Linked DNA regions of Oryzias latipes. The protein of the gene in region 1 interacts with the protein of each later gene in a pairwise test. Links are inferred from orthologs where the notes say so. Each region holds a gene or a part of one and is shown in the gene's direction. Other genes may lie near its edges.

The links. The genes of interacting proteins can lie anywhere in the genome.
Region 2: the proteins of dcx (region 1) and zinc finger and BTB domain-containing protein 5-like interact in binary tests that used the Homo sapiens proteins (3 or more experiments, as listed by UniProt). The two-hybrid records come from large-scale screens. The link is inferred for Oryzias latipes from reciprocal best matches to the Homo sapiens genes DCX and ZBTB5.

The regions. Positions count from the first base shown.
Region 1 is NC_019872.2:14,739,519-14,744,150, reverse strand, and holds part of dcx (neuronal migration protein doublecortin), read left to right. Parts: intron 1-1,320; coding exon 1,321-1,410; intron 1,411-3,630; coding exon 3,631-3,728; intron 3,729-3,813; coding exon 3,814-3,870; 3' UTR 3,871-4,632. UniProt on the Homo sapiens protein: Microtubule-associated protein required for initial steps of neuronal dispersion and cortex lamination during cerebral cortex development. May act by competing with the putative neuronal protein kinase DCLK1 in binding to a target protein.
Region 2 is NC_019859.2:12,631,975-12,637,202, forward strand, and holds the start of zinc finger and BTB domain-containing protein 5-like, read left to right. Parts: upstream 1-2,014; 5' UTR 2,015-2,554; intron 2,555-3,357; exon of another isoform or gene 3,358-3,360; 5' UTR 3,361-3,364; coding exon 3,365-3,574; intron 3,575-3,643; coding exon 3,644-4,474; intron 4,475-4,629; coding exon 4,630-5,228. Other genes in the region: polr1e (DNA-directed RNA polymerase I subunit RPA49), read right to left, coding at 32-128, 244-354, 478-622, 697-752, 835-920, 1,012-1,088, 1,372-1,475, 1,677-1,755 and 1 more. UniProt on the Homo sapiens protein: May be involved in transcriptional regulation.

The DNA.
Region 1 (4,632 bases):
CTTTAAATGGCAAACACAGGCTTGTCTGTCTCAAAAGTGGGGAAAAAATATACCGCAAAGATATTAATATTCAGAGCAGAGTCAGAACAAAAAAGAGCCACGTGGGAGGGAGCCTGACAAATGGTGAGAGGAATATTGTGAAGGGAGTGTTATCAGCAGTCAGCAGTGGGTTGGAAAAAAGCAGGAAAACGGAGCTTTAATCTGTCTACTGACAGGTTTAGGCCAGCTGATATGTTGCAGCTGATACTGCTGAGAAGTCGAGGAAAGAAACGGTGAAATCTGCTCCCTGAATGTGTGCTCTCAGCAGACCTGAAAAGCCTATTTTTAATAACCTACTTCCACCTGAAGCCCTCTTCTTCTTCTCCTGCAGCATCTTTTCCAGATCCTTAAATTTGGCCACATCGTAGAGTCAGGCCTGTTTCCAGCTATTGTCTTTGCCATGGAAATTCTCTGCCTTTTTTTTAACCTTTTAATGATTTCCGTTCTACATGTATCCTTGGGGGATTCAAGCTGAAAGATTTGATGTAGTCTGTAATGACATCTGGGCCATTTCCACTTTAAATGGTGCATCCTGACATCAGAGTCTGCCTCAATAAAGCTGAGATGCCCCTGTCTGCAGTGCATCATAATGGCTTTTTATTTCAACTGTGTTCCACAACACTTTTCAGCTGAGATCAATCTAAGTTCTCTGGAGGAAAAAAAAAAAGATTTCTTAATGCAAAATGTTTGTGTGTAAAGTTGGAGAAGATCATCGTCAAATGTTGCCTTAAAATTAGACTAATCTGAGAGAAGGCACACGTGAAACCGGCTCCTCGTTGCAGTCATGGTTTCTGCTACAGACTAGAGAACCTGAGAGTCTGGACTATTTTGAGCCTGCGGAGTTGATCAGAGAGGCTGCCAGTCTGCAGGAGTGATGGTGGCACACCTCCCAAACAATGGCAAAGAAATGCAGTTGTATGTGGTGGTGTCTGTGAAGGTTAAGAGGAAGAAGATGAATGTGGTGAGATCCCAGGAGATGGAAGGAGGACAGACAGTATAATTAGCATCAAAAGAGGAAGAGGAGGGAGGGGGAGGGAAACTGCCTGACAGTACAAACGCAGAGGAAGCTTTTGGAGAGGTGCAGCAGTGTCTGGAGTATGTCTACTAATATGAAAAACACTGCTCCAGAATATAATGGGATTATAGTACAAAATAGAATTGCATATGAAGCTTTGCTTCACCATCTGACTGATGGATGCATTTCTAATCAGAAACAGAAGTGTTTGCAGCTTGTTTTTCCAGTTTGAAAATAAAGATCTTTTTTTGACTTTGTTTTGACAGAATGCCGGGTGATGAAAGGACCCAAAACCCCACGTGGTTCAGTGAAGAGTCCGGGTCTCATCAAACGCAGCAAGTCACCCACTGAATCCAGTGAGTCTATTATCTTGAGCACAGTGAATACTGACATTAAGACTGCTTTTTAAAAATAAAAATAAAAGGAAAAAAAATAAAAGGATGCCGATAACAATGGGGCACAATACATAGTGAACAGAACATTAGATATGAAAGTAGAGGGATGGAGCTCACCTTTGACCTTTGTCTAAGGGGGATGGTGAGGATTGGGGGATTATTCCTATTCAATAATGAATGAAAATAGATGACTGACTTGGTTAAAGATCCGCTCCATTGAAAATTCTTAACATGTTTTTGTGGCTTTTTTTTGATGGACATGTATAAAGAAAATAAAGGTCAAATTTGCATATCTGAGTATTTCTTTATTAAATCGTGGTGCATCTCGAGCAGATTAAAAAATGCCGTCTGAAGAAGCGTGTAGTTGTGACAAAGAAATTACAAATGGCAGGCCACAAGCTCCCTGCTCCGCTTTATTGTGATGGATCCACTTGTAGACGTCATGTACCTCCATGTGGCTCCAATATTGCTCGCCATTTTTGTTGCTGTGCCAGTTGTCCACCCACAACTCATAGGTGTTTTTTTTTTTTTTTTAATAAACTACTGCTACTATGCAGAAACTATATCCTAATAAACCACATAGAACACTTGACCTTGGGCTAAAAACACCATAGTCAAATGAACACTTGAAACGATTTTACAAAAGATGATTGGAGTGGTTCTTTAATGTCTAGTAAGGACAAATTTTTTGTGTCAGATGACACAATGTTTTCCTGCAATTTTTTTTGGTTTGAAAACCTTTGATAAAATCTCTCCAAAAAGAAATTTGACTGTCTAAAATTCAACATTTTTTATTCCTAAAACAAATTCTTTTACTAAGAATTAAGTCATTTAAAATTCTGCTTTTTTGTGGTTCTTTAATCTGAGTTGTAACGCAGTATGATGTGCCTTTTTACAAAGCTCTATGAATAAAACATAAGTAAACAAAAGCTCCTCTGAGCCATTTGTCAGAGAGGCAGGGGAGTTGAACATGACAATATCCAGAAGGCAGCAGATCATTGAGATTCTGCTGCTAGCTTTAAAGAGCTTTTGCATCTTTTAACAGATTCTACTCGTATCTGGTGGTAGCTTTGTAATTTGCTTTAAGAACAAATAAGCGTAAAGAAACTAGATGGATGTCTACTTAAGGACTGTGGAATTCTATTATTGGAGGTTTGATGAGGGATGATTGACAGTAAACACAGCTTATGGGCATTCAAGATGTCAGCTTTATCTATGAATCTGGAAGCTGAGGGTTCACAAATCTTGATAATGGGGTCACGGCACAGGAAACGTCTCACTTGCCTGGTAATTTTGACAAGTTTTCAATAATTCAAAAACAATTTCCTGACTGTTTCTGATATTACCACTTATCCAATGTTTTTTTTAATATAATTTCTTGCAAAAAGAAAAATTAAATTCGTTTTTTATTTTTATTTTTTTTACTGATTCTTTTACTGATGCATACAATATTTACAGAATCACAAAATGATCCATTCTACATCTATGTTTCTCTCTGAAGCATAACAGTTGCATGTGTTTTGTTTGCCCATTTTGCTCACATGCAGTAGGGAGAAGAGATGTCAGAAAAGGCTGAAGAGTCAGGAACTTTCATGTGCGATGAGGAAAACCTTTTTTTTTGTCTTTCAAGGCTCAGAATGTGATGACTGATCAAAACTCCTGCATGTTTTGTCTTGAAAGCTGCTTATTTTAAACCAACCTAGTTTCTAAAAATCAAGCAGTTTTAGCATTTTTCCTATCCTTGTGTGACTTTTCAGTGACAGTGAGGCGTTTTCCTCTTGTTGTATTCGGTGCCTTTTGGCATAAACGGAGACTCGCCATCTGGTTGCGAGTCTCCAGGCCTCCTTTCATCTTTCATGAACAAAAAGCCTTTTAAAGTGTTTAACTCACACGGCTAAATCACCTCACACTGCTCCAAAATACAAGCACAATGTCCCACACTGAGAGAATCCTAGCAACGAGACGCAACACTAAGTCTGTGAATACAGTGTGCACTGACAAACAGAACTCATCGGTTCAGTAGAGCTGGAGCTCCAGTCTGGCTTTATTTGTTGCCAAGTGAGGCCACAATAAAGGACCGACTCTTCTAAAGGGTTGAATCATCTTATGCATTGTTTAAGATACAAAGCTGACTTCATCTTTTACTCCTTCATCTGTCCTCTCCTGTATTGTCACTTTCAGCCAATGGGACCGGCTCCAGCAGCCAGATCTCCACCCCAATTTCCAAGAACTCCCCCACATCCACCCCAACTAGTCCAGGTCTGAACAACAAGCAGAAGGTACTGGTCCATTTCTCTGTAAACATGGTTATTTCTTAACACAGTCCTGATGCTCAGATCACGGATACCTCTGCTCTGTTTTCAGGATCTCTACCTGCCCTTATCTCTGGAGGATGATGATTCCCTTGGTGAATCCATGTAGACTCTCATCCTACGTTTGGCCTGAAACACTGAATTTTTTTTTCCCCCCTCTGCTGCTTTCAACCTTCCCTCACAGTGCCACTATTGAGGACAACCAGTTTTTGTTTTTTAAGGCCTTAAACACCATTCACTGCTCTGCAAAAATCTCTTTTGATCACATTAAAATCCTCTTTCGATTTCCAGAAAGGTTTTTTGCAGAATAAACAACTTCTTTCTTACTAATGTCACAGTTTAGTCACAGATTTCACTGTAAGTGCCCTTTTTCTTTAAAAACTTTTTAATCATTAAGCACACCAAATTTAGAATTTCACTCCAAATTTCAGGCAGCAAAGTTTTTTGTACAACATTTTTGTGATCATCCTCATATCCTTGTCGCTCTGCCCTAAGGATGACCTTCCCAAAGGACGTTTTTTTGTTTTTTACCCAAAATCTTTCTTACTTGCTGTAAATACGATGTATAGCCATCATACCATGTTTGCTCCGTGTTCATTGCTGTGCTTCCTTAATGTCAGAACATTTGCTCAACTCATCAGAGGGTTTGATTAAATAGAGGTAAAAGCTAAAGGAAGCTTAATGGTAGGAGTAGAATGCAAAACAGAGCCACACTTTTCAGACCAAAATCAGCAATGCCTGTGAGTCCATGTGGTGTGAAAAATTGCATTCAATCGGAAAGAAATCTTTTCTGGCATTTCCTCTATTTTGACGCTCTATGTAGACCGTAGACTACATGTGCTACCAAACCTTCATTAACTATTGTGCATGG
Region 2 (5,228 bases), on another chromosome or scaffold:
AATAAGACAAAAATGCTCTCTGCTACCATACCCTCTTTGGTCTTTCAACTTCTGCAGCTCCTCTTGGCTTAGTGCCGTCATCTTTTGACCGTTCGGCTCCAAAGCAGCAAATTCTACTGGACTCAGTACTGTTGAAGTCAAATTAAGGATGGAGAAAAGTGCTGCTTTTGCTCGAACTACATATGCATGTAATTTCCAATATCTGTTCAAATTGGGGGTGGGGGGGTAATGTTAAAAAGATACGCTCTTCAAAGGGGTAGACATCTTCTTTTTTGTCTGCATCTGCATTGCAGGGAGGTAGGTGTAACGACAGGGCTCCTTGAGACTCTGTTTCAGCTACTTCCTGTTGCAGAGCTAACAAGAAAAAAAGGGGGAAAAAAACATGTAGTAAAAAAAAAATGATGGCAAGTCCAGTATGAATTTGAGTTATATTTTCTTGTCTAGATTACTCCAAAAGGCTGAAAGCTTCACGCTTACCTTCCAGACCCTTGTTATCAATCACAGTGCTGGCAGCTTCAGCCACTGCATGATGCAGAGCATCACTGCCCACCTGGTTGAGCCTGCGAGAGCTCAGAGCTCGTTTCTGTTTATTCGTGCCAAAGGCCTCAATCAAGGAGTCAACCTTGAGAAAGAAAAAAAAAACATGACTTCACTGTGTGCTTGTTTGTTTCAAAAGAAAGCTTGTTTTTCTCATACCTTTTCCCTGTAGGACAGAGTGGTGTCCTGAGGCTTTGCATCATGTGTTGCCTCTCCTGGTGGAAATTAACTGGCATTACTAAATTGCCCTCCTTTAAAAATCGCTTGTTATTGTTTTGGGGATTGCATTTCTTTTACCTGGTATGACAGGTTGCATGTTGAATAGCTGAGCGCTGTGTATCTCCATCTGCATGGTTTCTTTATTCAAAACTCCAACATAATATCTGAAAATAATTGCATCACAAAACTCATTCGATAAGGATACGAAAGGTCTATATCAAATGTTAATGTATATAAAATGTAATGATAACAAACCTGCAAAGATTATTGCATTTCATTAAATCTTCTCCAAAATTCTGCCCGACATAAGACAACCTGTCTGATTCAGCAACCTAAATGGAACAGACAACTGTTACATATTTAATGAATGCGAATCTGTCATTTTTGTTTAATTATTATGGTATAATGTACGTGTGTGTGGTTGTAAATATATGGATATGCATCTCTTATAACATTTTTTATTTTACAATCAAAAAATGACAAACCATCTTAAGTTTGATAAACATATGAGTGGATTTGTATTTCTTCTTCAGTGTGATGTTATATTGATTGCTTGAAATATATCAATTCCATGCAAACTATGGTGTGTGCGAGCACGCATGCGCAATTTCTCACCACGATCCGCCTTATCTTTTTCCTCGGATTATTTTCTTCTATGTTCTTGAATGTGGCAAAATCCAGTTCCTCTGCATTGCTGGTGAAACCATTCGAAAATCGGACTGCAAAAAATACAGAGAATGGCGTGTTAATGTTGATTATGTGTGAGAATATTGCCTTGTAACTTTCACGTGTTCTGATTACTCCTGAAAAATGGAATAGTTTTATACACTTGAATGCAACACAGATAACTCAAATACTGACTGTATGCTCGCCTGCTTTAGAGATTATTGTTTCAAAAAGGCTGAGATGAGAATAATTACCTATGATCGCTTTGTCAGACTCCCTTTCCTCCTCGCAGCACACCATCCTGCACGAGGCGGCCATGATTGTTGTTGTGATCTGTGAAAGGAGCGAGAGGACTCACTCATCTGTATTTACGTAAAACGTAACGCTCAGTGAATTTGGTCAATGACGAATTTTTGTCTTTTCTTAAAGCTGTCTAAAAACATTTTTTTTCTAAATACACGTAAATATTATTCACAACACCTGTCTTAATAAAGTAGATATTTAAAACCATTTCGCTCAATAGTTTTCATCCTAGACACTTACGAACGACAGCGACACCCTGTGGTGAATCATTCAAACTGCTGCGCTTTACCTCAACGAGGTCATTTCAATCAAGGTGCAGCAGCGCCACCCTGTGAGTCTGGATGGGGAAAAAAAGCCGTCTGAATAAATGTTCGTATAGATTAAGCAAAACGTGCTGCTTGGTAAGCGCCGGAAACACACCAGATCATCGGTATTATGATATTGTTCTGAAGTTGTATCCTGCTCATCGGTCATCCTAAAGCTAACGACCATCGCAACTCCCTTCTTCTCGACAGTTGAACTACTACGCCGTTCAGACTGTATTGGAGAACTACGAGGAAGTGGCTTAGAGGAGATGTTATGAACACCGCAATGGAAGGGTTAGCCATAGGTAGCTGCACTTGAGGGGACATTTTGTGGGGGAAAGGGTGTCGGCGGAGACGATCTTTTGGGGAGACCTAATGCACCCGCTGGTGCTGCTATATAGCTAGAAGGAGTTGGCTAGCCGCGCGGCTGCTAACGAGACTCACTACTAGCCTCTTCACTTTTTTTCCCTGAATATTTTCTCAATTTTTTTCCTTCGGGGACACACTTTTTGGAAGACTTAAAGGTAATTTGTGCTATTTGACATTTTTAAAATCTAGTATATGTTATTTATTGTTTATAACCCACATGATTGTCCAGTTTAAACTTGCAAGCTATTCTTTAAGGTCTGTTTTGCAGTAACCGAATTCTCTATCATCAAGTTGCGATAAAAAAATATAAAGTTTGGGGAATTTAAAACGACTAATTACCCAAAGTTTTTGAATGTAATAAATGTTACAACACGGTTATCGCATAGTAAGATATTGAATTCTATTTTAGGCCACAGAATTCTATAAAATTAAATCAATTATTCTGAAAAAAAAATTAGCTAGCTTACTTAAATTTCCTTCTTTTGTGTGTGTTATATGTTGAGTCTTTGGAAACGCTTTTAACCAAAGTGACTCACTAGTTTATTACAATCCAAGGCAACGTGAGGTTAAGTGTTTCGCCCAAGGACACTTTTGACTGTGTAGTCTTGGATTTAAACCCCCAATCTACTGACCTTCAAATTCTTTCCTTAGTTATGTCTATGTTAAATAGTCAAAAGGAAGTCAAATGTGTGTGTTTTGCACTGATAATGACATATTGAAGTCAGCCCAAAAAGCCAGAATGTTTCTAAGACTTGTTGTCTTGTTGATTAACTTAACTTCACATTCTGAGTAACTTCACATTCTGAGTGGCTAAACACACCTGATGATCCAGGGAGCAGGGAGAGCTGGGAAACAGTCAAGGTGGTAGATCTGTTGGGCAGCCCCCTGTGAAATCATTGATGTCCACGTCCTTCTCACTTTTGTCTCCTTCTCCTCCTCCTTTGGACTGATTTGTCAGCAGAGCCATGGACTTCCCGGGACACTTTGAGCAGATATTCCAGCAGCTGAACTATCAGCGGCTGCACGGTCAGCTGTGCGACTGCATCATAGTGGTGGGCAGCCGACACTTCAAAGCCCACCGCTCTGTTCTTGCAGCCTGCAGCACCCACTTCAGAGCGCTCTTCACCGTCGCCGAGGGAGATGCTAGCATGAATATGATCCAGCTGGACAGCGAGGTTTGGACCTGAAGCGAGCACTGGCTCTGCTGTGAGTTAATATCATGATAACAAACTGCCTGTTTGCAGGTGGTCACGGCTGAGGCATTTGCTGCCCTGGTGGACATGATGTACACGTCGACGCTGATGCTGGGGGAGAGTAACGTCATGGATATCCTCCTCGCCGCCTCACATTTGCACCTCAACAATGTCGTAAAAGCCTGCAAGCACTACCTAACCACACGCACACTGCCTGTGTCGCCCTCCTCTGAGAGGCCGGCCCATCACCACTCTCAACAGGAGCAGCAAAGGCACAGGCAGCAGCAGGCGGACTTGGGAGGGAACCCAGCTTCAGCGGGTAACACAAGCCTCACAGGAAACGCTGCCACGTCGAAGGTGCAGCGCTCCTTCTTGCTGCAGCAGCTGGGGCTCAGCTTGGTGAGCTCCGCTTTAGGAGGAATGGAGGAAGGCGGCGTGAGCAACAGAGCGGTCGACCAGCGGGCCTCATTCCCAGTCCGTCGATTCCACAAACGAAAGCCGTCTCTAGCGCTGACAATTTCAGAGGAGAGACCCAGACAAAGGCAGCGGACCTCAGGGGGCGCCAACCTAGGTTTGTTGGAGGAAGACGGCGAAAATGCAGATCAGGATGAAGCAGCGCTTCATTCGCCGGACTCCCACAAACCGGGGGATGATTCTAAGCTAGGCGCCGGCATCACAGGGTTTGTAGCTGTGGCTCAAGATGACCCTCAGATGCCGAGTCAGTCAGACAGTGGACGCTCTGAAGGGGAGAACTCGGTGAGGATTCCAGGAGGAGTAAACAAGGAAGAGGACATGGGTGACCAGGATCAGCAGGCCAGCAGAGCCACTGTAAAAATAAAGTCAGGGAACGAGGAAGAGCAGGGGGAAGATGAAGAGCGGAAGGTAAAAAGGATGCACATAAAGTTTTTTTCTTATTAGTTTCCAGTTTTTCCTTTTTGGGGGGGATTTTAATGTTTCTACATAATATTCGTTTTTTTCCTTCGGTAAACAGCTCAACTTTCATCACAGTGGAAACATTTTTTAATTTTTTTTGTCAGGTGGTGGTCAAGCGAGAGGTTCTCAGCTCACCTGAGCCTGTAGACGAAAACAGCGATGTGACGTCCCAGGCTGAAGGCAGCGACCCGGCAGAGCCCGGCTGCCAGGAGGAAGAGGAGAAGGTGGAGCTGAGCCCAGAGGGCAGCGACCGCAGCTTCACCTCCGACCCCCAGCCCAGCTCCGAGTCTCTGCTCCATTCCAGTTCCCAGCTCCTCCTCAAGGGCAGCATGGGAGGAGGAATGGGTGTCACGGGGGGGTTTGGCAGTAACAATGGGCTGAGTAGCAGTTCTAATTTTAATATCTCGAACTTTCTCAGCTCTAAAGACTTCGGGAGAGGTGGGTCAGGGTTGGTTTCTGGAGAGGATGACCTTCCTAACACAACCACCGGGGAGGCAGTTGCTCATCGCTTCCTGATGAGACACGACGCTGCTGGGCCGTCTTCCTCCGCGTCGTCCTCTCTTATTCAGTCGGGCACGCTAAGTGGCGAGAGCAGAAACGGCTTTGGAGACAACCTGCAGCCAGATTCTCTATTCCTGCAGCCTCCTTATGAGAACTTAGGAGGCCTCAGAGGGAGCAGTGGGAGTGCTGGACGTGGAGGAGT